3 linked regions of the Drosophila melanogaster genome follow. The protein of the gene in region 3 purifies or fractionates together with the protein of the main gene of each other region. This does not show direct contact. Each region holds a gene or a part of one and is shown on either strand. Other genes may lie near its edges.

Region 1 (8,282 bases), on a different chromosome or scaffold from region 3:
CCTACCGCAGAAGGATACACTCTCGCCATTTACCATTCTGCTACCTCACTCCTGCTCCATTATCCTTTCTCCGTTCTTCATTCTCCAATCTCCTTACCATCCCGTATTCCGCATGCAATGAAATGTATTCAATACTCCGTCAATGATGTCCCAAGGACTGTTGGCCTGCGGCTGCCTTTTATTATTATTATTTTTATGTGCTGCTCTTCCATTTGTACGATCCCCACTTTGCCGGTCAGTGTTGTCCTTTCACCTTTTGCCTTCGTCCTTTTCAATCAACGGCAAATGGCCAAGTGCTAACTAGATTTAAATAATGCATTAGTCGCTGCTGTCGTGAGCATTCGACTGCTCATGGTAGTCTACCAGAACTGGTTAAGTTTTTGATTTTATATGTATAACGTAGAAAAATAAATTTGAAATAAAAAATTGTTTTTCTCTTTATTATTTTCTAAATTAAAAAACCAATTATAACTAAAAAATAGTCGTAACTTTCGAAGCATATTATGGTTCCTCAAATTCGGATCTGAAATATTTCTTAAATATATATATTTCTTTTGGCGAGGCCTAAAAAAATCAAGAAATGCAATTGACAATAAATTCTGGTGATATATGTTTGAATTAGTGAACCCCAACAACAAACCCAAACGAAAATGGCAATTGAAATTTTTTTGATTAGCTTAACCATTTGGGGCTTCGACAGGAAGTTTCCGGCAACTGAAAACTGCCACAAATTCTCAATTGTCGTTGGCCAAAAACTTGCCAAATAGGAGGAGCTACCCAACGACAGTTGCCAGGCTGTAAATAAAATTTAATGAAATGATACGATAAACTTGTGAGTGTGTGATTTACACACAGCAGAAGCCCAGATAGTACTGCACAATTGCATATGCACTGCTAGCACACACATTAAATAAAATTAAGGGTTGTGTTTATAAAATTATAAAAATTATAAAATCCATCTAAAGCTTTTGCAACAAAGTAGTTTCAATGTACTGCTTAACTTTTATCCCGATTTTTTATACCAGTTTATTACAAATTTCATGTTAATCTTAATATTTCTCAGTGCACGGCTTGTTAGTCAAGTCTGTTTTCCCGGGGTTTTCTCACACATCTTCTGCGGAAGTCTGGCTCCCGCTCGTTCTTTGTACCAGTGCGTAATTTCAACATTGGCAATTAAAATTTTGTATGAGTTGCTTGCAATCAGTGCCCAAACTTGCCACGCACAAACAAATACACTCGCAGAAACACCCACACGGATGCCCGCACACAGTTGCATGTGGCGACAAACTCAGCTGGTGTCTGCATAATTTAAAGCATACATTTAGGCTGCCGGTCCTGGCTGTGTGATAAATGCCAACCAGTCAGCGCACACTCTCACAAACATACCCATCACCCAACCTCACCCATACACCCAAACACCGATGCGGAGGACATCAGTTCGCTGCTGCTGACAATTCCAAACAATTTGCCGAGTCTGGCAAGCATTTTGGGCTTGGTTCCCTGTTCGGGGCTGTGATTGCCGTCTTCGGCGCTCTGCTTTGATTATAAGCCACGCCCACACAGAGGCATGCGTGGACACACTCAGAAAAAATGATCGATCAAACACTAGATGAGGCCCTCTTGCCAAATTACTAGGGACTTACGAGCAATTAAAGGTGGTTTGAATTATGCCAGATAAATGCATATGCAACAAAATACATATTTCTATTTTTATATCATTCTTATGTTTAACTCATACTTCTCGGTGTATCCACCCAGCCGGGCTTTAAATCCATGTAAACTACGAACAAATGTTTAGAGAAAACTTGTTACTTGTTATTCTGCATATTTGACAAACACTTCGCATGCTCACAGCTAACGAATGTTAAGTTCTGGAAACCTTAAATCCATTGAAGCCCAAAACTCCGTCAAGTATTTCAAATTCGAATTATGAGCAGATATACTTCATTTCTTTGCAATTGGAACTTTGCCCATATGGAGTTTAAATTGAGATTTATTTAATTGCAACCAGACGTTTTATTTATTTTCTGTATATAGTGTATAAATAGGACATGAGCAGGACTAAATTCGAGGCAAGTAAAGTGATTGAGATTAAAATGTTCAGTGAGATTTGCGCACTAGTTACATGACGTAGGCACGTCGCATCATCAGATCAAAAAACATATCGTTGTCAATTGAGGCACTAATGGTGGCATAATAGTTGACAAACTCCTCGCGGGTTATCTGTGGTACATGATATTTTTAAGTTGTTTGTAGGCAGAAAATGTCATAAGGACTCACCTTTCCATCCAGGTTTCCTCGACCTCCCTCAAAGTTGTGCAAAAAGTCGGTAAGAATTTCATCCTCAGACTTTTCTCCAGACTGGTACTTGGGATGTTCTTTTACAGAGTACACGTTCTTAAGATCTTGAATGGTAATTACTCCATCTTCATCACGATCCATTTTGTTGAACGCCTGATCAATAATATTCAAACGACTCTGCGGCATGGGGGGCTAAGTATGGGAAAATAATATATTTCAATGGAATGGAATAGTTTATAGCTTATGAATGGTATGTACAAAATAAGATGTATTGTGCATCTTACCCTTAGTTTAAGCAGGAACTCGGTCATATTAATCGATCCACTGCCATCCTCATCAAACCTAAAAAGGGAAATTTAATATTTCTCCTATTGTTAATGAAACTGCCGTCACTCACGTGGCGAACATCTGCTTGATCTCCTCCTCCGACACATCCAATCCGGTGTCCCTAATGCCAGTGATGAACTCCTCCTCATTCAGAGCCTTGCTACCATCGTCGTCCATCGCCCGGAAGGCCCTGCCATGAATAATCGAAAGTTAAACTGTTACTATTGCATAATTCAGCGCAGGTCCGATTGAAATGTCGTTAAAAGGCAATAAGCCAATCATACCTGCCCAATCCCAGTATGCCTGTTGCTCCGCGGCTGAGGCACAGCAATCGCAGCTTGGTAATGGGATCCTTGTCCTCGCCATCTGTCAGTTCCCGGAGCGCTTGACTCGCCATGTTGGCCTCCAGGGTGTAGAGGTCACAGTTCGGGTTCTTAGATTTAGGCATTTTTAGAATTTATAAATACGTTTACGTTTAATTTAATGTGAAATAGTTGTCAAAAATTTTTGACATTGCTACACAAAATGTGTATCGATTGATTTCGATTTTAGTAAGCTTGACCCGCTTCTCTTTAACTTTGATGTGGGCGTATAATAATGGAAAATTAACCGTGAGTAATATGTGGTCCACAGTACCGATATATGAGTAAGAATTAGCAATATTCAATGGAAAACAATTCAAGTACATTCTACAAAATTACAAAAAAAAGATTTTCCTGTCTTATTCTGCATGTATGTATTGCATTTGAGTATACATATTGCGACCTTATCTTTTAATTCCTTTATCTGCCTTAATATCAAAATAATGTTAGAGTTCATTTTTATGTCAACCAAAGCAAATAAACTACAGCGAATCAAAACCAGAGTATTCAATTTCATTCCTATATCTCTTATGGCTATTCCCCGTAATGTAATTATAGCGAAAACGCTAAAAAAAGTGACTAACAAAAATATCCATTTATGGATCAAGTAATTAAAGCTACTGCGCAAACACAAACAATATAAAAACAAAAGATCCCTTGAACCGCAGTGAATCATTCGCTTCGCCTCTGCTGATTTTTCTCAAGACGCTCTCTAAGTGTTTGTTTCGTCACACTTTTAAAGAGACTTGCCTTCAATTAAGTGAAATTCGTCACTAGGCAAGGGGAGTTAATAATCAGCTGGAGAGGTGTAACGAAAGTGGGGTGGATTTTTAATTTCGGAGAAAGCCCTTTCGCAATTTCCCAAATTGGAACCCAAGGTGAAGGTCGCCGACCAAAAGTTTGGCCCCACAAATAGAAAACAAATGCGGGAATAAACAAGCCAAGCACAACGTACCTCCATGTTTTTTATTCGTGAATAGACCTTTTCACTAGTTTTATACAAAATTTGATGGGGGCTTGTTTTTTTTATAGGCGCCCAACTGAATGGATAACTGCAAGATACTTGTTACTTTGGCGGCTTTGAAATGCAAACTGAAAGCGAAAAATAAAGCGGTCGCAATGAATAAACAGCCAGTCGCTCGAGAAGAGCGAGATGGCCAGATACGAAGGTTCGAGACAGAACGAGAGGCACTCACCCAGATGGGGAGCACCGTGGAACGAGTGGAAATGAAATATGAGCTTTGCCGGCTTTTGTGGCGGGGGAAAACTAGTTACTAAAAAGCATTTACGCTCATGTAGAGCAGACAGTTCGTCCCAGACAGAAAACCCACTGGACTGCCAGCTCACCTGACTCATCCGCCTAATAACTCGGTCGCATTTGCCAGTGATGGCAGCTTTATTTTAAAATAAAATAAGATACATACTGTTAGAAAATAAGATAATATAAAATGAATTTAATCAAATATATTGACCCATATAAATTAGATTTTACCCAAACATTTGACAATAAACTTCTCATGACCAAACCATGTTTATATATAAATCTGTTCTCCACGAACAAGCGAAATTTATTAGATAACAATACATTTCTGTAAGCTAAGATATTTTCTATGCCTAAAAAAACTTCGAGTGCCTACAACTTTGTTAGATAGAAATGGACAACTCTGATAGTGGAATATACCCGGTCTTCTAAACATTTTATTTCAATTAAAAAGTGGCGGGTTCCTACACACCAATTTCGTGACTTCACTGGCCAAATGTTTACTTTCGGCCAACACGAGCCGACAGAAAACAAATATTCAAACTCAGTGATTGTGGCCTGTAAAATTGATCTAGATAAAAAAACGAAAGCACCTGAAAGTATGCAATTCAAAGTGCCCACGAGTTTGCCATTTATTTGGTTGGATTTAATTGAAGTTGCAGGGCAACCAACAACAGAAAGTTCAAAGTTAAACAAGCGTTGGTTTCGATTAAACTCATTCATAAAGATCAGGAAATAAAAATGATGTTGTCTCTTTAAGTTAATACTGCACTTGGCCTTTGATTCGCAGAATTTAAAATATGTAAATGAATGCAATCTTTAACTATTCACTTTTTCTTTTTATTTACTTTAAATTCTTTATTAATTTTTTTTTTTTTTTTTTTGTAAGGCCTGCTGTAAATATTTAAAACCTAATGCAGTACACTAAAATAAACTTGGTAAATCGAATATGACTTTTGCTGTTATTTGTATATCTTCACATTCCATTTAAGGTTGCATTTGCTGTGGTAAAATTCATTTTCCAATAGGCGGCACACAACACTTAATTTAAGGAATAGCCTTGAACTAAGTTGCTATTGGACACGGCTTGGTCGGTGCACGTGTTCCAAGGGTCTTATAATATGCATACGCCCCTAGAGGCACTACCATGTCATACGACCATTACGGGAAATAAGCCAGGTAAACATGACAGCACAATATTTTCACTTCGACCAGCGTGTTTGTCTAGCGCGGCCCCAATAATCAGTCATGAATCACTGCCGGCGGCCAACACTGCGTATGCGTAATATGCACTCAAATAAACCCTTTATAACGGTACTTAGCATGTTTAGCAGAGTAGAATCAAAGTTTTTGTTTGATAATTGATTTATTTATAATAACCTTGAGGCTCCAGCCTTTCGTGCGAATCTCCCTCAAGAACATGCCGCCCTACGAATTGAAACTCAACTAAATTCAGCCGGCGAAACTTAGTAACTAAAATAATAAATGCCGCACAAGTAAGTGGAACTAGGCAACAGCTCGGGGTGTACCACAACACACTGCGGCAATGAATGGGACAAGGTGACTCATATCGTGTCTTTGAACTTGTCCCGTTTTAGCCAAAGAAACCACAAGAAATAATAACACGTGTTCTAAAATGGTGAAATTGTGTCAATAAATTATCTTGTGTTCTTTAGAATAAGGATAATTTTTAAGTTATTCATTAATACAAAGAGTAGTTTTCTTAACAGAAATCTATTTTCGATAAGCTTTTACTAAGAGTAACAACTTTTCCCCTGTCCACGCTTTTGAGAAAGCTTTTCAGCAAGAAAGAAGGCAAGCGAGTGGTTAGTGGATATGACCTGAAGGTTTTCCACCTTTTCCACACATTTCCCCAGTTGACTGACTGTCCGTCTGAGAGAGTGGGTGTGTGAAAAGGACGTTGGAAAGAGGGCGGGACTTCAACGGGAGAGTGTGTGCATTGATGTTGTCAACGCATCATCTGAGCCTGAACTCAATCAGTGAATCACTTCACAATTCGCTGATCAAAAGGAAAACAATCATACGCATTTGAAGTGTCAGAAATTGCCAAAGAGGAAAAGCCCCAGTTGAGAGAGGGAGATGGCCAAACATGCGAATGAGACGGCGACAGAGCGAAAGCGGCGAGAAGAAGACCAGGACCCTTTCGTCCTTTTTGCCATTTTGCCATGTTGACACACTCAAAACTCTGCGACTGTGTGCGAGTGCCTGGCGTGTATTTTCTTTTTAATCAATTTATATGCAAATAAGTGAAATGCTTAACTGAATTTGAGCTGTCTCTCTGACTGACTGACTTGCCCCCTCCCCCACTTGGCGACCCCTTCAATCATTCGCCTGCCTTTGCCTTTTTGCCAGTTGCTTGATTGAAAACGTTAAACGCATTGATTAACGAAAGACGCAAATTCGACAGAGACTGGGATTTAATTGAACTTGTTGCCACGGAATTCCCTTTGCCACGTCCACTGATTGCCACATCCAACTTTATCCATCCGAAAGCCAAGATCTTCCACAGACTGTTGCAAATATTTGCCTGGCCAACACTACACCAGTCGGTTGTCAACCACATTTTACTAATATTAGGTTCAGCCCAGCATAGTTTAGCACCACCAAAAACTACCGCTGGAAAGAAATTAAACATTTTAAAAATTACCTTTTTTTGATAAATATTTACATTGCATTTAAATGGATTTATTGAAAAGATTAAAAATATCTATACATTTTTATGAAAAGATTTTGACCTAGTTTCTTATTTTCGCTTATTCTCAGTGCATTGAGTCAGCTCCTTTCCCCTTCACTTTTTCGTCAAAGGCGAGAACGACTCTCACCTAATCCTTAGGATGGAGGAGCACCTTCATCACACCGGCGCCAGTTTTGACAGGCCCTCGAGAATTTTGGGTCTTTGTCTGTGGCGACGCCTGTGTGTAAATTGATAAAATCAACTTGATAACTTCATTTCATTAAGTAAACATTAATCACATTAACTTTTGTGCCTTATGTCGGTTTGGGACTGGTGCCGAAATTAACCCTAAATGCCTTCCCCACTTCAGACCGTAAGATCTGTATAATTTTAATAAGAAAATCTGCTTGTCTGCTTTTCACACGCTCCCGACCTTTGAACCACAAAAGGCAAAAGTCTGCCAGGAGTGTGTCAATACATATTCAGCTTTGTATCTTTGCGCAAAAGGTAGTGTGTGTGTGTGTGGTATGAACCCTTGAGGTCAAGGCGTATAAAACTTATTACTTAATTTAAGTTGGGTCGCCAGCGAGCTTGACAGTGCCGAGGCACCAAAGAATTTATCATGTTGGCAAATTTAATAAAATGCGAAATACATTTTAATACATTTCGTTGGTCGAACGGGTTTTGCCTTTGTCCTAATTTTCGAAATGAGCATCTGCATATTTCAATTTCCAACAGATTTACATAAATTTTATAAGCCGAACTGCGTTGAATTGAGTTATTCATGAAAAGGGTTGTTTCTACTCTCTGTTAATGGGGTTTTAAGGAATGGTTATAAGGTTGGGTAGGTAAATTTACAACGATTAATATTAAATCATTGCTTTAATTTAACGATCATCTTTAACAAAAGCATTTAAAATGCATAACATATTAAAAGCAATATACCTTTGCCTCTTCTAATATTTTGTAACGTTTTCAGGGCATTTAAAGTTCGGACAGGTTTTTGATTTGATCTTTGGCCATGCCAAACTGTCAACTCGTCTGGACCCAAGACTGCTTTGGGTCTATTCCCGACACCATGTGAGTTTTGATTAGTTGGTTTTGAATGACTGGAAATTATTAAAACTGCCAAAATTGATCAAACCTGATGACGGACACTCGATGCACACGAATCTAGTAACTTTTTTCATTTGGCTGTCGAGTTCGGCCATTAACTGGCAGGATATTGTATGCAAAAAGTTGACATGCGAATGCCAAAAGCCGTAAATGATTTGATAGTTGTGCTTATTACACCTAGTGTGCTATCTAGGATATATTGGTGGCCTTTTTTTTGGTG
Region 2 (5,475 bases), on a different chromosome or scaffold from region 3:
CCCCACTCAGAAGAAGAAGATCTTTGGCATTTGTTCGTTGCATAATTAGGAAACGTCTAAATTTCGAAGAACACTAAATTAGATTTACGAGACCCGATCAAAGCAGCCAAACGCACGGAACGCAATTAAAATCAGCTTAATAACTCTGCCCAAAAGAAAGGAGATCAGATCAGATTCAGGTCTGGTCTCGAATTCCCAAGGTGTGATAATAATTTTATGAAAGAGCCCAACGAGGCAACAAATCAATTCCGCATAATGCCAATAAAAAAGATTTGAAGAAGGCATTTACATTCATGAACATAAATCTCCGCCAGCTCACAATGCTCAAATAAAATGGGAAAGAACCGAAGAAGACGCATCCAACAATTTCATTATGAGGCATGAATGAATGAGTGCCACACTGGGGCACTGAACGATTGAATGAATGAATGAATGAATGAACACTAGATGCTGCTTTCTGAATCGCTATTGTTGCACCCATTTTGGCGGCGAGTCAGTCTCCTTATTTTTTTTTGTTTTTGAACACTTTTTGGAGGACCTCACAATCGGATGGCGAGCATAACGGGCGATTAGGTGTTAAACACACACAATTCGTTGGGCATTTCTGCCCGATCTGCCTCTGACGTAATTTATTGCCCGTGGAACATTGGCCGAACCCACTCATTTTGCCCAGCAAAGGGGCTGCAATCGCTGGCGAGCTGTGGATATGCAGGTAGCACCCACCACGGTGGTCGTGGCCCCGTCTCCAGATTACCAGCTTTTCACTCAAGTGCAAATCCTGAGCATGCGTCGCTGGACACTCCACTGGAAATCCCAGCGAAAAGTCGCTGCAAGTGCACTGAAAAAAATCGAAAAAAAAAATCTGAAACTAATGTAGATATACGCAGCAACTTAAATCAATGAGTTTCTCTTGAATATTCTTACTGATTAACTGAGCTCACTTTCCAAGCAAGTTGTTAACAACATTTTGCCTGTGCACTTGCGAAGCTTTTTCGTTGGCGCCTCGGCGCCGCAATTAAGCAGAAATCGGTAAAATAAAACAGAGCAAAATTAAGGTTAATGTGGGCCGGGGTCTGCTAATTAAGATATGCTCGCCTGGCTGCGAACGGTCCACTGATTTCGATTCTGCAGCAACCCAGGAGCCCCTGGAGCCCCTGGATTCTCCCAGCACCTTTCGACAAGTCATTGAGCTGTTAAATTTATTTAATGCCTGCACAATGGAGGCGAACAAGTTGCCAGTGGCTTTGTTATTAATTTTTATTGCTGTGCGATTGAGACAAGTTAATTTCCCCACGCAGTCATTCTTATTCGCAGGAATTGTGCGAGTCACGAGAGGATTCCCAGGATCCCCGAAGATCAGCGGGCTGCCTGCTGCGCCTTTGTCCAGATTTTCAGAGTGTGCAGGTCCTTTTCTCGCCGCTCGTTGAATGAGAGGAGATACTCATTCATTCAAGTCCTTCACTCTCGAGAGTTTCCATTCAAGCCGAGGATCTGCCAGTTTTGTGGGTGTGTCGCACATGGATTACACTAATGCGATAGTTGTCCCACAATTTAATGCACTCACCGCACTCGAACGGGGATTTAATGATGTTCCCACCAAGTTCAAGTGCTCGGTGTCGCCAGATTCGCAAAAAGGATTTTCGGGCTGGCTCGAAAAAATGTGAAACAACGAAATCCTTTCATATGCCTCAAGAACCCTTCATATTTCATCGCCACTTGAGAGACAGTGCCGTCAGAAGTGTTTATTGTCTCCGCGCATTGTCTGCAGGACTCGCTTCAAGAGGTCCTTTGCGGGACATGAAACCGATCCTTGCAGGTGAGCACGAGCCCTATTCCGCTGACTAAGCGACTTTCTGAGCCAGGAATCTTGTGTAGTTGCTGGAACTGATGCGCTTAACTCTTTGACTTCGTTTTGGGTAAGGCAGAGATCGGATTAGGTTAGGATCGATTTAAGCCCAACTCTACTTATCGGTTGCACCACCCCAAAAACACTTTACTTAACAAGGTATCATTTATTTACTGAACTCCTTACAAGAATATTCTCTACTTCCTGTACCACATCTGCAGGGTCCTCATGCGCTTTACCTTCTTCTGCAGCTGCAGGATTCCGTACATTAAGGCCTCGGCGGTGGGCGGACATCCGGGCACGTAGATGTCCACCGGAACAATGCGATCGCAGCCGCGAACCACCGAGTAGGAGTAGTGGTAGTAGCCGCCACCATTGGCGCAACTGCCCATGGAAATGACCCATCTCGGCTCGGGCATCTGGTCGTAGATCTTCCGAAAGGCCGGTGCCATCTTGTTGGTCAGGGTTCCGGCCACGATGAGCACGTCCGCCTGGCGAGGAGATGCTCGGAACACCACACCGTAGCGATCCATGTCGTAGCGAGGAGCCGCAATGTGCATCATTTCGACGGCGCAGCAGGCGAGACCAAAGGTCAGCGGCCAGAGGGATCCCTTGCGTCCCCAGTTTAGCAGGTCATCCAACCTGGCACAGGTCCACTCGCCCCAGGTCTTCTGGTTGCGTCCGAAGGCCGAGTAGCCCCACTTTGGCGGATTTTGGCAACGGTAATCGTACACCGGCATGGTCTTCTGGCCACGAAGCCACTGGGATTGCAGCACTCCACTGCCAGGCAGCAGCAGCTGGCCAGGATTCCTGGCCAATTTCAGGAAACTTATCATCCTGAAGATACTTAATTTATTTTGCGATGTAGCAATGCATGGAAAATGTGAAAACTTACTTTGAACTTTTAGATATTGCTAGCTATATTGAAGGTTTGACAACTTTTTCTGAGGCTGAGCTATGTAACATTTTTAACACTTTGGCTTCTACAATGTATATAAGCTCTTGTAAATCCCATTTGGATTCCCCTGACGCCACCGATTGGCGTCAAAATCAATCCGAAATCCCAGGCACTCAACGCTGGGCGGACAGCGAACAGGAATCCATGAAGCTCATAAATACGCATGAGCATGGAGCTCCCATTCATGCGCCATGGATGCTTGAGTACAGATCGCTTAGGAGGAAATTATTAGCTGATTGCTGCAGCGCCATCACCATCCACATCCCCGCTGCACGGGTGCACTAATGGGACTCGAGGACCTGGGGACATGCAACTCGAGAGATGGGAATGGGAATGGGCCCTGGAAACTGGGAGCAGATGCATCCGCGGAGAACTTACGCAATCGATGCGCTGGCTCATTACGGAATCGACACCGCGGAGCTGCACTTGCAAAAAAAAGATCTTTTGGCAAAGGAATACATTCTACATTAAATGAAAGAAATTGTAAGTAAATCATATTAAAAAAAAACTGTGCACTTTAAAGGGTAGATTCTAAAGCAAAGTCTGTAAAATGAAGCTGACCAGTTTTAAACTGTATCTTGTAGTAACTTTTCATAAACTGTTCAATATAGTTACATTTTTTCCGAAATGTATCTTATAGTTTTTAGAGCAAATGAGCAGTGAACTTCTACAGTTTTGTGGCTGCTGCAAATGTATCTCCTAGTGTGAGATTGAAGTCGTGGCGCTGGCGCAGCTGGCAGTCAATAGTCGGTGGAAAAATGGCAACTGGCTGTGTGTCTCTGTGGTTTTTAATTAACGCTTTTGCACAATGCTTGTCTAATTACGCCTATGGTGCCTCAGACACGACAACCAAACGGCAGCGACTACTAAATCATCCATATTGTCAAGCGGCAGCTGCGGCTTCTGCTGCGAATCCTGCAGGATGGGCAATAGAAAAAGTAAATGAAATAAAACGAAATGAAATGAAAATAAATACGCGGGACATGGACGACGACGATCATCGCATGGCAATTAGGCATTGGCTGCATTTGATGCATCATTAATTGAATTAAATTTGCATTTAAATGCGCACCTATGAATGGAGCAGGCAGGCCAGTATGCTGCCATTTTCCCAGCCAGAAAAGCAGAAGGCCAGAAGCTCAGACGCCCAGAAGACCATAAGCTATCCAGCCAGCTCGTCTCCGTCGACAATAAACCGCTGATGAAGTCATATGAGCCTGGCCCGAACGCATTGGCCAAATGCAGCGAACGCTGCTGCGTACCCGGCGAAAATGCCAATTTAAAATGGCTAAAATAAATTGGTTTCGTTCGGCTTTGTTCGCTCCTCCGTTGGCTGGCCAACGCAAAATAGACTATCATCAATTTAAAATCAATATGTCACATAAATTGGAAGGGAAATCAACGCCAAAAGCCGCCAACGATATTGGCCAAGGAAAATGTACAAAAAAAAAATAAGGGGGAAAGATGCGAAATAAATAAGTAAGGTGGAAAGGAAAATAAAGTTGGGAAACTCAGAATACTCTATAGCTTTCAATGTGGATAGATAAATGTAATAAATATATAAATTGACCTCGTACTTGATTAGTATAGAGTATAAATTGATTTATGGCATGATATGATATGATTGTAATACTTATATATAAATGGTAGTTCAGAGTTGGCTTTGGCATATCCTACTCCTTGAAAGGGTATGATCCAGGTGGACAAAGGATGCACTGGCAACTGGAGAGTCCACTGCGATTACTTTGCTATAATTCGTCGTCATCGCTGCTGCAACTGCAACAGCAACTGCAATTGTTGCTGCCCGGTGACATCGTCGCTGGGGTTTTATTGGCCACTTTTGGCCACATCAGCGACAACGATGAGACAGCCGAGTGCGCTTCCTGTCTCATGGCTCATAGCACATAGCCATGGCATATATCCCAACCAGCACATATATATATATGTATTTATATACACGCTGTATGCCGGACAACTTGCCATTATTATGCGCATGTTGCATTGCATTGTTGTTGCCGGATTTGTCAGCGATCCTCAAAGTGATAAAAATTGCTCGTAAATCCTTAACGAGTGGAACTAACACGCGCTGGCTGGCTGGCTGGCTTACTAGCTCGAACTGGAGAGCCTTACTAAGTCAGGAGCAACTCCCCCGCATCCACATCCGCATCCGCACACCACATTTGTCTTTTTAGCGAGCTCCTAAAACAACAACATGCCAAGCGGAACAATGGCGATCCGCAGACCGAAATGGACGCGCTCATCTCTTGATCTGCATTGTTAGCGGCCAGCAGGAGCAACTTGGCCAGTACACTGAGAGAAATATAAGCAGAGGCTTTGCAGTTGCACACCAAGAATCGTAGCCAGCTGGAGCTACAAATAATAGATAGGCATTCCTTTATTTTTGCCAGTGCAGTGCAGCATCTGCAGCATTCCATTTCCATTGGAAGCTCTTTGCATTCAAGAGAGTGCTCACACCAATCCACTGCTTTTGGCCAGTTTATGCATCACCAGGCACCAAATTGACTCCATTAAATTCCAATTGTGCCAATGTTTTTTTTTGAAAAATGGGGTTGGGGAATCCGAAAAACATATCCCAAGTGTTTGCTGATGCTTTAGCTGCAACAATGTTGTGCAACAAGAAGTAGAAACATTCTCCCCGTGTATTCAGCCA
Region 3 (9,550 bases):
CCGTGGGCGGTGGGGGCGTGGCCCTGGGTGGGCGGTGGCTCGGCAAAGAGCATCTCGAAGCGCAGCCGGGTCTTGATTGGACAGACCCTCAGCTGCTGTTGCTGTTGCACTTGTTCGAGCGGGCCACCGATCTCCAGGTGACGATATAGAGCATAAATTTCGGTTTTATGCTCGAAATGGCTCCAAGTGCCGTTATGGGCGGCGTATTTACCGTTGGCGTGATGGCAGCCTGCTTCTCTGACGTCACAGCAGCCGGCTGATTCAACAGCGACAATTTCGCTTTCGACGGCACCAAACTGGCGTAAATAATCTAAAAATAAGACGAGGTTTTTTTTCCTCTGTACACGGGGAGGCTGATGCCGCTTCTTCTTCTTGTTATTTGCCCTTTGCTTCTGCTGAAGCTGCTGCTTCTTCTTGCTATGTTCCCTTTCCTCTTGCTTTTTCTTCTTATCCTCCTCGCCTGCTAGATTCTCCTTCTTCTTACTACTCTTATCCTTTACCCCTTGCTTGTGACAGAGCTCCTCCTCTTTCCGTTCCGCGTGCAGTTGTTGTTGTTGTTGCTGCTGCTGCTTGTTTGACCTTTTCTTTTGGCCAAACTTTCTGCCCCCGTCGACGTCACAGCTGATCGATTTGCTGCACTCGCTCGGCGATTTATCCGCCTCCTGGCTTTGCCTGCTTTTTCGATTTTCCCAATTCACATTCGTCGTCGGCCGTGGGAATTCTGCTATCATAATTTGTATGCCACTTATGCCATAATTATCACACTCACTCTCACTCACACGCACAAAAACGCGAAAAGAGAGGCGGGCGCGCGCTTGTGTTGTTGTTGATATATTCTTTTTTCACCGCTTAACCAAGCTGAAAAGTTGAAAATCTTTACACACACCAAAAACACACACACACACAGACTCAGAAAACTTGGGAAATCGAATTTTCCGTACTATGATTTTCCGGCCATAAATCTGCACGGGCGTAAGTTTCGGAGGAAACTGCTGCAGAAAAGCTCCTGGTCGCAAAGGAAGAAAAATCGGACGGGCGAAGCGTTGCCAGACGATGACAGCGATTTCATTTGTTTTGATTTAGTTGCCGGAGCGATGTCACCTCAATAAGATACCGAAAAATACCAAAGGTATTTCGAGCTGCCAATCTTTTTTCCGACATCAAACTTTTCTAGCCATTTGACTTTTTTTTCAAAAGTATTTATAAATTTTTTTATATTTAAATGCACGAAATAAATACATATATCAATGTCTATATAATATTTGGAAATATAAGTTTCCTTCGTTGTCATTGGGTCTTTCGACTTCTCTTTATTGACGCATCGCCTTAAACAATTCCAACTAAAAATTTCCAATCAACACAGACAGCTACTTCGCTCCGCTTAGGCAAACAGACGCAGTTCATCGCGCGCCTCGATGCACTTGGGCGGCGAGGGAGTCTCGAACTCGCCCAGCTCGGCGTCGTAGTAGAGGGCGGCGCGGTAGGGACGCAGCTCCCATGGCACCTGCTGCTCCATTGTGGTCAGCGTGACGCCCAAATCCTCAAGCGTGGGGACACCAGTCAGAACCTTGTCGGTGACAGCCTCGCGTTCGATGCGAGCGGGATGCAGACCGCCAATCGGGGTGCCGGGGCAGATGAAGCTGTTCAGCTTGGCTTTCAGCAGGAAGGTGGGGTCCCAGCGCATGTCGTAGCGCATGTAGCCCCAGCGCTTCTGGTCCTTGCGCATCAGGCGGTGGAACCAGTCGACCAGCTCGCTCAACTGATAGCGTTTAGGTCTGCAGAGAATAAAGGAAATTAAGAAAATGTACATGGTACAAATACTTGGACTCGGAGATTGACTTACCCCACAGCCTGGTAGATGCGGCCAGCGCTGTCCGGATCCTTGGCGGCGTTGATGATGGCCTGGGCCACGTCCGAAACGTAGACGGGCTGCTTGACGGTCTTCTCTCCCTTGTGCCACAGCGGCATCGAGCGGAACTGACGGCGCCAGATGTGGGCGTAGTAGCGCAAGAAGCGATCCTCGGATCCGTAGATATCCGCAGGGCGGATGATCGTGGCGTTGGGAAAGGCGTCGCGTACGCGAAGCTCACCCTCGTACTTGCTTTTCAGCCACTCGCTGCCGCCCTTGACGTACAGATCCTTGGGATTGGCCTCCACGTTCAAAGAGGACAGGTGGATTAAGCGCTCCACGCCAGCCTCGCGCGCAATCCTGAAGAAATAAAAGTGGTTTACGTCATGCAAAGTTAGAATGAAGAAGTGGGCAGGCAAATAATGCTGGCTATGATGTTCACCTAGCGATCCTCTCCGCTCCGTTGACATGGACATCCTTGAACTTGAAGTTCTTGGTCTCGAAGTCCCTGCCCACCAGGTTGATGACCACGTTCGAGTGCTTGACTGCGTCACGAATGGAGGCGGGATCCTCCAGGTTGTAGAAGTGAAAGAGTACCTGGCCAAGATCACCGGTGACCTTAAGACGGATAACATCCGAATCGTCACCGCGATAGGGCAGGATCATCTGGGTGCCAGATTTGCCCAGTTTGTTGCAGACATAGCGGCCCACGAAACCGGTGGCACCGAAAACGGTCGCCACGATCCCATTGAAACTGCTACGTCCGCCAGTTCCGCGCTTCATGGCAGCCGGATTGGTGGTCTTCAGTGGACGTGGACCATCTTCCGGCGGCGCAGCAGCGGCGGAATATCCACGCAGGCACAAAACTCCAACCACGCCACTGCCGTGGTGCTCTAAGTATCCGGAATTGGACAGAGAATGAGCCAAAAGTTAGCCACAAACATCGTATTACATAATTGGATTGCCTGGCGGTTTTCGACCGCAGGCACGGTACTCACTGGCCAGCTGGAGATTACGGGTTAGTACTATGGCGGCCATTTCGCACCGGCACACTGGACCAACTCGATTCGGTTAATTTACGCTTAAAATCCTATTTTATTTCGGAACAGGCCAGTTTTTTATTTTGCCCCACGACAGTGTGACCGTGGCGTAGCAATTGGAATATACTAGAATTGACAGGTTGATATCAAAAACTACCGTCAAACAAAGCTGCCAGACTGAAGAAAAACATTTGATTTGGAAAGTAACAGTTTTTTCTATAGTTTTTAAAAAGCCCTGTTAACCTAAAGTTAACCCTAAATATGTAAATAATTGACCTCATAACCAATAGACCGTGTTCGTGGCCATTGCATACCAAACATATTTTAATTATCTGATTATCAAATATCGGTAAATGCTACTACGGTTATAACTACTATGATCTCGAATTATTCATACTATTTAGGTGGCACTAATAATTTTACCTCATAATTACTTTGACAACCTTGGGGATATCTTAGCCTCTTAGCGGTAATTAAACCGTCATATAAACCACTCTTCTTGCTTGGCACTAGTTTATAAATATTTGTTGGCAAATAAGACATAAGCTAACCGTGTCCCAGTTGAAAAGTAACTGCCTTGCTTGTCACACCGCAAACTTTTTATCTAATGTGCGTGGCTTAATTGCAATTTCCAGCCCGCGGATCGTTTAATTCGGCACGGCTTGGGTTCTACGGACAAAGAATTCAGTTAGCAGTCGCCTTCGAGCTGTAAAACCGAGAGCATCGGGAAAACTTAGTGTTATCTGTTCGAAATCGGCCAACTAAGGATTAACTATTTCTACGGACCAAAAACACCGATAAGCAGTGAAATAAAAGTGAGCTTGTGGTGAAACTGTTCATAATGGATACACATTTTTGCGGTTATAAAGTGCGGACCACTAGCTAATTTGGTTTGAATGTAACAGCTTGGGTAAACTAATTAGTACCGAGGGTATATAAGTTAGTAATTTGTTTTTAGATTGGTTAAGATAATGGGATTTCAGGCGAATGCGACTGTCATGAATAACCTCCTTCGATACAAAAATATTTCTGGTATTGTAACATTACATTATACACATGCAGTGGGTCAGGATATACAAAAAATTATAAACATTTGTCAGTGTGTCAAACGCGTTCTTATACATATATATGTACGTATTTGTGTATAAAGAGTAAATTTCGTGTCAGATATTTCTATTGAATCACCCTGTCTAAAAATAAATAATAAAACACATTGTTTATATTATTGTTATAATAAAACACATTGTTTTTTGTTTGTTGACTTCAGTTGTGCGTTTGATAAGTTAAATATCTGCACAGATCACTGCTTTTGACAATTGAGGATGTAATTCTATAGAGATTACCATAGCTTCATATGTAAATATGTATTTATAATATTTATTATGGCATTGTTGTTGTCTCATAAACCTACCTAGATAACGACAATACAAACATACCTACATTTGACAGGCATAAACAAGCAACATATGTATAAATTTCACTCTCCTTTTTCTGCTCTCATTTCGCTCTCTTTAATAGCTCACATGCAATCAGCTGATTTTTTTTCAACCTGCTCACGCACTTTTTCGCCCACACAAATACTATCACTGTTGCTTTCTACCTCTCTCTTCCTTATCTCTGCTCCCCACCCTTTAAATTTGCGGGCTTTTCGTTTGTTTTGCCGGCCGTGGTTATTGGTGTTGTTGTTGCTCCTATTCGACCATCTCTCTTTGCCTTTAATACCCTTACGAAGAGTAACTCAAAAGTAAATAAATAAATAAATTAACTACTCTTGGAACATATCCGTTCTAGTGAAAAAATTAAAATTAATTTTAATTCAATTATGAATGCTCAGAATTATAATGAGGAAATCTTCTTGTTTTTGTAGAACATAGCTTTACTAGTATTATAACATTTCGAATTTCAATTAAAAGAGTACTTATAGTTCGGCATGGTGCTTCGGGTTTTCCGTTTATTTTGCCATATGTATATTTCTCGTCGTCTTTTGCGATCATTCGTGTTTGAGCCGCGCTGCAGTTAACAACGATCTGAATGATTCGCTCCCGAAAAAATTAGCGCGTGTGCCTCGAAATATTTTAAATCGCTAACGTGCGTGTGTGTGAATAATAATAATAATAATAATAACAATAAAATAGGAAAAGCTACATTTTCCAAAGCAATTTACGCTGCCGCGGTTATAATTAGAAAACGTAAAGCGAACGCAGGCCTTTTTTCGCTTATCAGAGTCCAAAAGACGGTAATTCTCCAGTTCTTAGCCACAGTATTAGGGGTCTAGACTGATAAGGGCTTTTCGGCCGTATGCGAAATTCGGCTTTGTATCTGGGCCCAGGAATCGGAAAAATACGCCCTAATGCGCGCAGTTTTGGATACTCGCAGATTGTATATAGATGACTGATTCGTTAGCGGGCAGATTGTAGATCCATTTAGCAAGTGATTATTAAGACGCCTCGCGCCTCTTGGCACCGATGTGAAAAAATATTGCCCGAAATATGTATTACTTCTGCGGTGTATAAAAATAAGTTCGATCGAAATTAATGCTAATTAACGGTTATATCTGTCTACGATCCACCTGCCAGTCGCATCGAGATTAAGCTAAAAACAAATTCTCACCCTTAGCTAATTCAATGGAAATTAATCCCGGGCCTTGGCTCAAGTTCTGAAGAACCCAGCTCGGCCGTGTTTCCAGTTCCAAAATATTATAAACAATTACTCTATGAAATAATAAACAAACTAATTTGTTTGCGATTGAGTTAATAATGCATTTTTGGTTGCACGGTTATATTAGCCAACTCAAATTATTAATCTAAAGAGTAGCGTGAGATCCAAAAATTTTACATTTATATTAAAAGAAAAATTATTATATTTTAATCTCTTACATAGAAAGCTATTATTGTATTTATTACTTCTATCACTGCAACCGCATTGTATGTTTATAAATTTAATTCAATTAGATTTGTCGTTTTGTAATTTCGAGTCATTAAGTGTAATTGAAGTGGGTCTTTAGTAATCAGCATTAATATCAAACTTCGTATTATTTTAATGGGTTTTTGTAAATCATCAAAAAATCTCTCGGACCCCAACTGATCACGTTTTCGATGAGGATGCAGGGAAAGCATACATATGTACATATATAGATATATACTTATGTATATAGGTGCAGATTGCACGTAGATGGTGGTGCATAAAATCGTAATTAAAATATTTACACTTCTTTGTTTATTATAATGGGAATATTTCATTGAATCGTGTGCTTCATCACTTACTATGTACAGGTGGTCAGGGTTGTGAATTCGCGAAAAAAAACGTGGATTGGGTTTCACTTTTATGATTATGGGCTAAAAAGCAGTAAGATACAAGCTGGATTTTTATAGAACACACAATTAGTACGGAAAATTTAGCCGAGTGCAATGCAATTTAACTTATAGCCTACTACTTACTAATATGGAATAACTTAAAATCTGCATACTTACTTTCGCCTAGTTGTTCCATCTTTATTAACTCTTATCTTACATCTTATATTTATAATGTACCTATGATTTTAAGGCTGTATTACCTAAATAAGTCATATTTACATCCCATATTATAAGAGAGCCCCCCTAAAAATATTAATTTCCACTTGGCAACATTTACCGGTGGCAACATCAACATTCCCCATCGAATCAATCCCTCGACTAGTGATGGCATTTTAACCCACTGAAAGCCGAGTTGTTTTCGATATTGTTTTCCAAATCGCTCTTATCAGTCAGACCTGTCCACTTACCACTTAATCACCTGGGGTGAGATAGCGATAGGGTCGGTAGACAACTATCTCTATCTGCTTATCAGGAGTCCGATTTTGGCGCGTTCGAAATGTTCAAATGCGCCTCATGGGCAACAAAGTAATAAAATATTGGCAGCACACGTTGTCTGTGGCCCACTGATAGACAATAACAATATTGATAGAATTTTTAAATAACACCGTTCCCTTGCGAATTAGAAATTCCAAAGGCATCGGCAACCTTGTCATCGTGTCCGAAATGGTCAAAATTGTTAGATTTTAGCTGCTGGTTGTTTTGAAAACAGGCCAGGGACCCGTATAGGAAGTATTTTTGTAATTCAGTTTAAAATCTACGCAAAAACCAATAGGCAACAAATGCTGTTTGTTGCCAAACTTCATTTGTATGCAGGCAATGGTCCGAAAGAAGCAAAAAATTAAACAAGCAAACAGAATTAATGCACCTGAAACCTGATGATGGCAAATCAAAACAAAAAGCAAATGTTATTGGTCCCGAATTTTACTGCACGCTTCACTTTTTGTTTATTTTTTCAATTAATGGAGTGAGCTGTTGCATTGGTCTAATTGGCAATTGAGCTGTCAACTCTTGGCTCAGATTTACGATCTGGACTTTACGCCATCTGAGAAGGTCCGGATTCGAGGGTAATCAAATAATTATGACAAAAGGGGTGAAAAAACATTCCATAAAAACCTTAAAATTTTGCAATTGAATTCTCGAAAGTAAAAAGATTTCTCGCAATACTAATCTGTGAGCAATTTCATTTTTGTAAAATAGTTGTTTAACTATACATAGCATCTATAAAATAACCAGATACCTGTTACTCAGATGTCGGGATGCATGCCTTGTCTCAACTTTTTACAAATATCTTTAAAAAAATATGTACGGTCAGACGGACGGACGGACATTCAATTGAACATTGGACTTATTCGCAATTAAATAGCTAGTTAACATACAAACTAAAAGAAATTTATATATAAATTTAATTACACGTTATAAGTTGTTCATTTTACTTGCCGATTGCTTCTGTTTTCACTTCAATAAATATTTCGAGTGATGTTAAATCAAAGGTTTAGCGGCGATATCAATAACAATACCGATATGTTGCATATTAATTTTCTTTATTTAAACAGTTTACCACCAGTAAGCATTAAATTTGAAAAAAAAAAATTCGCTAAATATACAAATCCAATAAATACGAGCAATTACTTTATTCAATCTAGCGTGATATGCCAACTTTTTCTTTTTTTTTTAATCGGTTTCGAAAACAAGTGTACATTAAATCTTTTACCCCAAAAAATGGCATTAAGTCTGTTGACCTTGCATTACCCTATTATTACTCTAAAATTTTCCTGGGTGTCTAGTATACCCTCCTGCTCTACGAGTAATGGGTATACAAAATTGTAAATGAAAAGCTAAGCCTAATTTCAGCTTTTAGACCTGCCTTGACATCTTTGCTTTTTTTTTGGTAGTCTTTGGGAACCGTCAGTTCTCATCCACATGCCACTCATATCACACCACATTTTATCGGGAGGATCACTTCGTTATCTTCATTATCCCCTAGCAACTACAGCAACAATGAGCGACCTGAGGCTTCACACGAATCAGTATCTTTATCTGTATCTGTATCTGTAGCTCTGCTTATCTTGTGTTATCTTTTGTTCGAGCCTATATAACATTGCCTCCTGCCACCCACTACCCATCCATTTCGGATTTCGAATGAAAACGAAATCAAATTGAGGAAATGAACATTTAGTGGAACAACTGGAAGATACACGAGTACACAGAATCCATTTAATCAAACAGATGTCTATGGCCTCATCCACTCATCCAAATAGTTTGTTGCTACCTGCTAATTGTTATTTCTACAATGTCTCTGCTGGAATTACTATAGCTATAGTATGGAAAACAGTCGATTGTTTGCTGGGGCGCACAATCTAGTGCCCCCGAGGCGCCGTTTAGCGCTTTAGTACTTAGCTTACTCGCTTTCCATGTCTATCTCTATGGGGTTCTAAAACAATAGATTTTATCATTTGATCTATTCTAATTATATGCCATTGCACGTGTGACAATTTGGAATGCAATTGGCTCATTTAAGAGTCGAATCGACGACAAACATAGGCGTTTGTACATTTGATAAAATTGTATTCTGGGCGGCAATGTTAATTTGCGTAATAATCCTATTGAGGATTCCACGTGGAAGCGACAGATTTAAATCAACAGTCGATTTGGGCTTGTTCTGTCACTTTAAGGAAGTTTTATATAACGACAGTGAAATCATATAGAAATGCTGTCTATAAATGGATTACTATAAATATCATTAATGAAGTATAACATATAGCAGGTCCATGGTTCTGTTCTTTAAGTTAGGCACATTGTATACCTCAACTTATCACATTTATTTACCATAAAGGTCATTGCACGGACCTTCAGTTTTTGTTTAGATGGTCTATTCGGATTAACCAAAAATACCATTAAACCGCGACATGTCCCTCGCTAATTACTCTACTAGAGGGCATTTAGGCCATTTAAATGACCAACCGAATGGGGTTCAACCTTGGGGTTACATGGCGGCAAACACACTGAGTGGGGGCGTCCATCAAACAATCGGTAGCTATATGTCCACAATCACGTAAAATTACGTCAATGTCCCAGGCTATCGAACGATCGATTCGATGAGATTCGCTGAGGTAACCACGGGTGTAGCGGGCCCATTTAGCATCTTCATTTGCATGCAACCCATGCAAAAGCGACAGGAGGAGCTCAGGCCCGTGCCCACATGATGACGATCATGGTGGTGGTGAATGGCATACGAGCTTGGAAATGAACTGAACCCTAAATATGGCAGGTTCAGCTCGGTTCAGTGGCAGTATCGCCCCAAATCGGAT

The links.
Region 1: the proteins of ND-39 (region 3) and CG10126 purify together in Drosophila melanogaster (affinity purification with mass spectrometry, with the first as the bait; one large-scale study listed by BioGRID). This does not show direct contact.
Region 2: the proteins of ND-39 (region 3) and ND-20L purify together in Drosophila melanogaster (affinity purification with mass spectrometry, with the first as the bait; one large-scale study listed by BioGRID). This does not show direct contact.

What each region holds. Positions count from the first base shown.
Region 1 is NT_033777.3:12,853,545-12,861,826, forward strand, and holds CG10126 (uncharacterized protein), read right to left. Parts: upstream 5,703-8,282; 5' UTR 5,674-5,702; coding exon 5,632-5,673; intron 4,089-5,631; exon of another isoform or gene 3,952-4,088; coding exon of another isoform or gene 3,946-3,951; intron 3,062-3,945; coding exon 2,913-3,061; intron 2,819-2,912; coding exon 2,699-2,818; intron 2,644-2,698; coding exon 2,586-2,643; intron 2,494-2,585; coding exon 2,281-2,493; intron 2,224-2,280; coding exon 2,122-2,223; 3' UTR 2,000-2,121; downstream 1-1,999.
Region 2 is NT_033777.3:29,513,052-29,518,526, reverse strand, and holds ND-20L (NADH dehydrogenase (ubiquinone) 20 kDa subunit-like), read right to left. Parts: upstream 2,811-5,475; 5' UTR 2,742-2,810; intron 2,715-2,741; exon of another isoform or gene 2,684-2,714; 5' UTR 2,683-2,683; coding exon 2,044-2,682; 3' UTR 2,000-2,043; downstream 1-1,999.
Region 3 is NT_037436.4:20,488,817-20,498,366, reverse strand, and holds ND-39 (NADH dehydrogenase (ubiquinone) 39 kDa subunit), read right to left. Parts: upstream 6,286-9,550; 5' UTR 6,153-6,285; intron 5,126-6,152; exon of another isoform or gene 4,877-5,125; intron 3,705-4,876; exon of another isoform or gene 3,446-3,704; intron 3,021-3,445; exon of another isoform or gene 3,016-3,020; 5' UTR 2,888-3,015; coding exon 2,848-2,887; intron 2,743-2,847; coding exon 2,292-2,742; intron 2,210-2,291; coding exon 1,844-2,209; intron 1,776-1,843; coding exon 1,382-1,775; 3' UTR 1,283-1,381; downstream 1-1,282.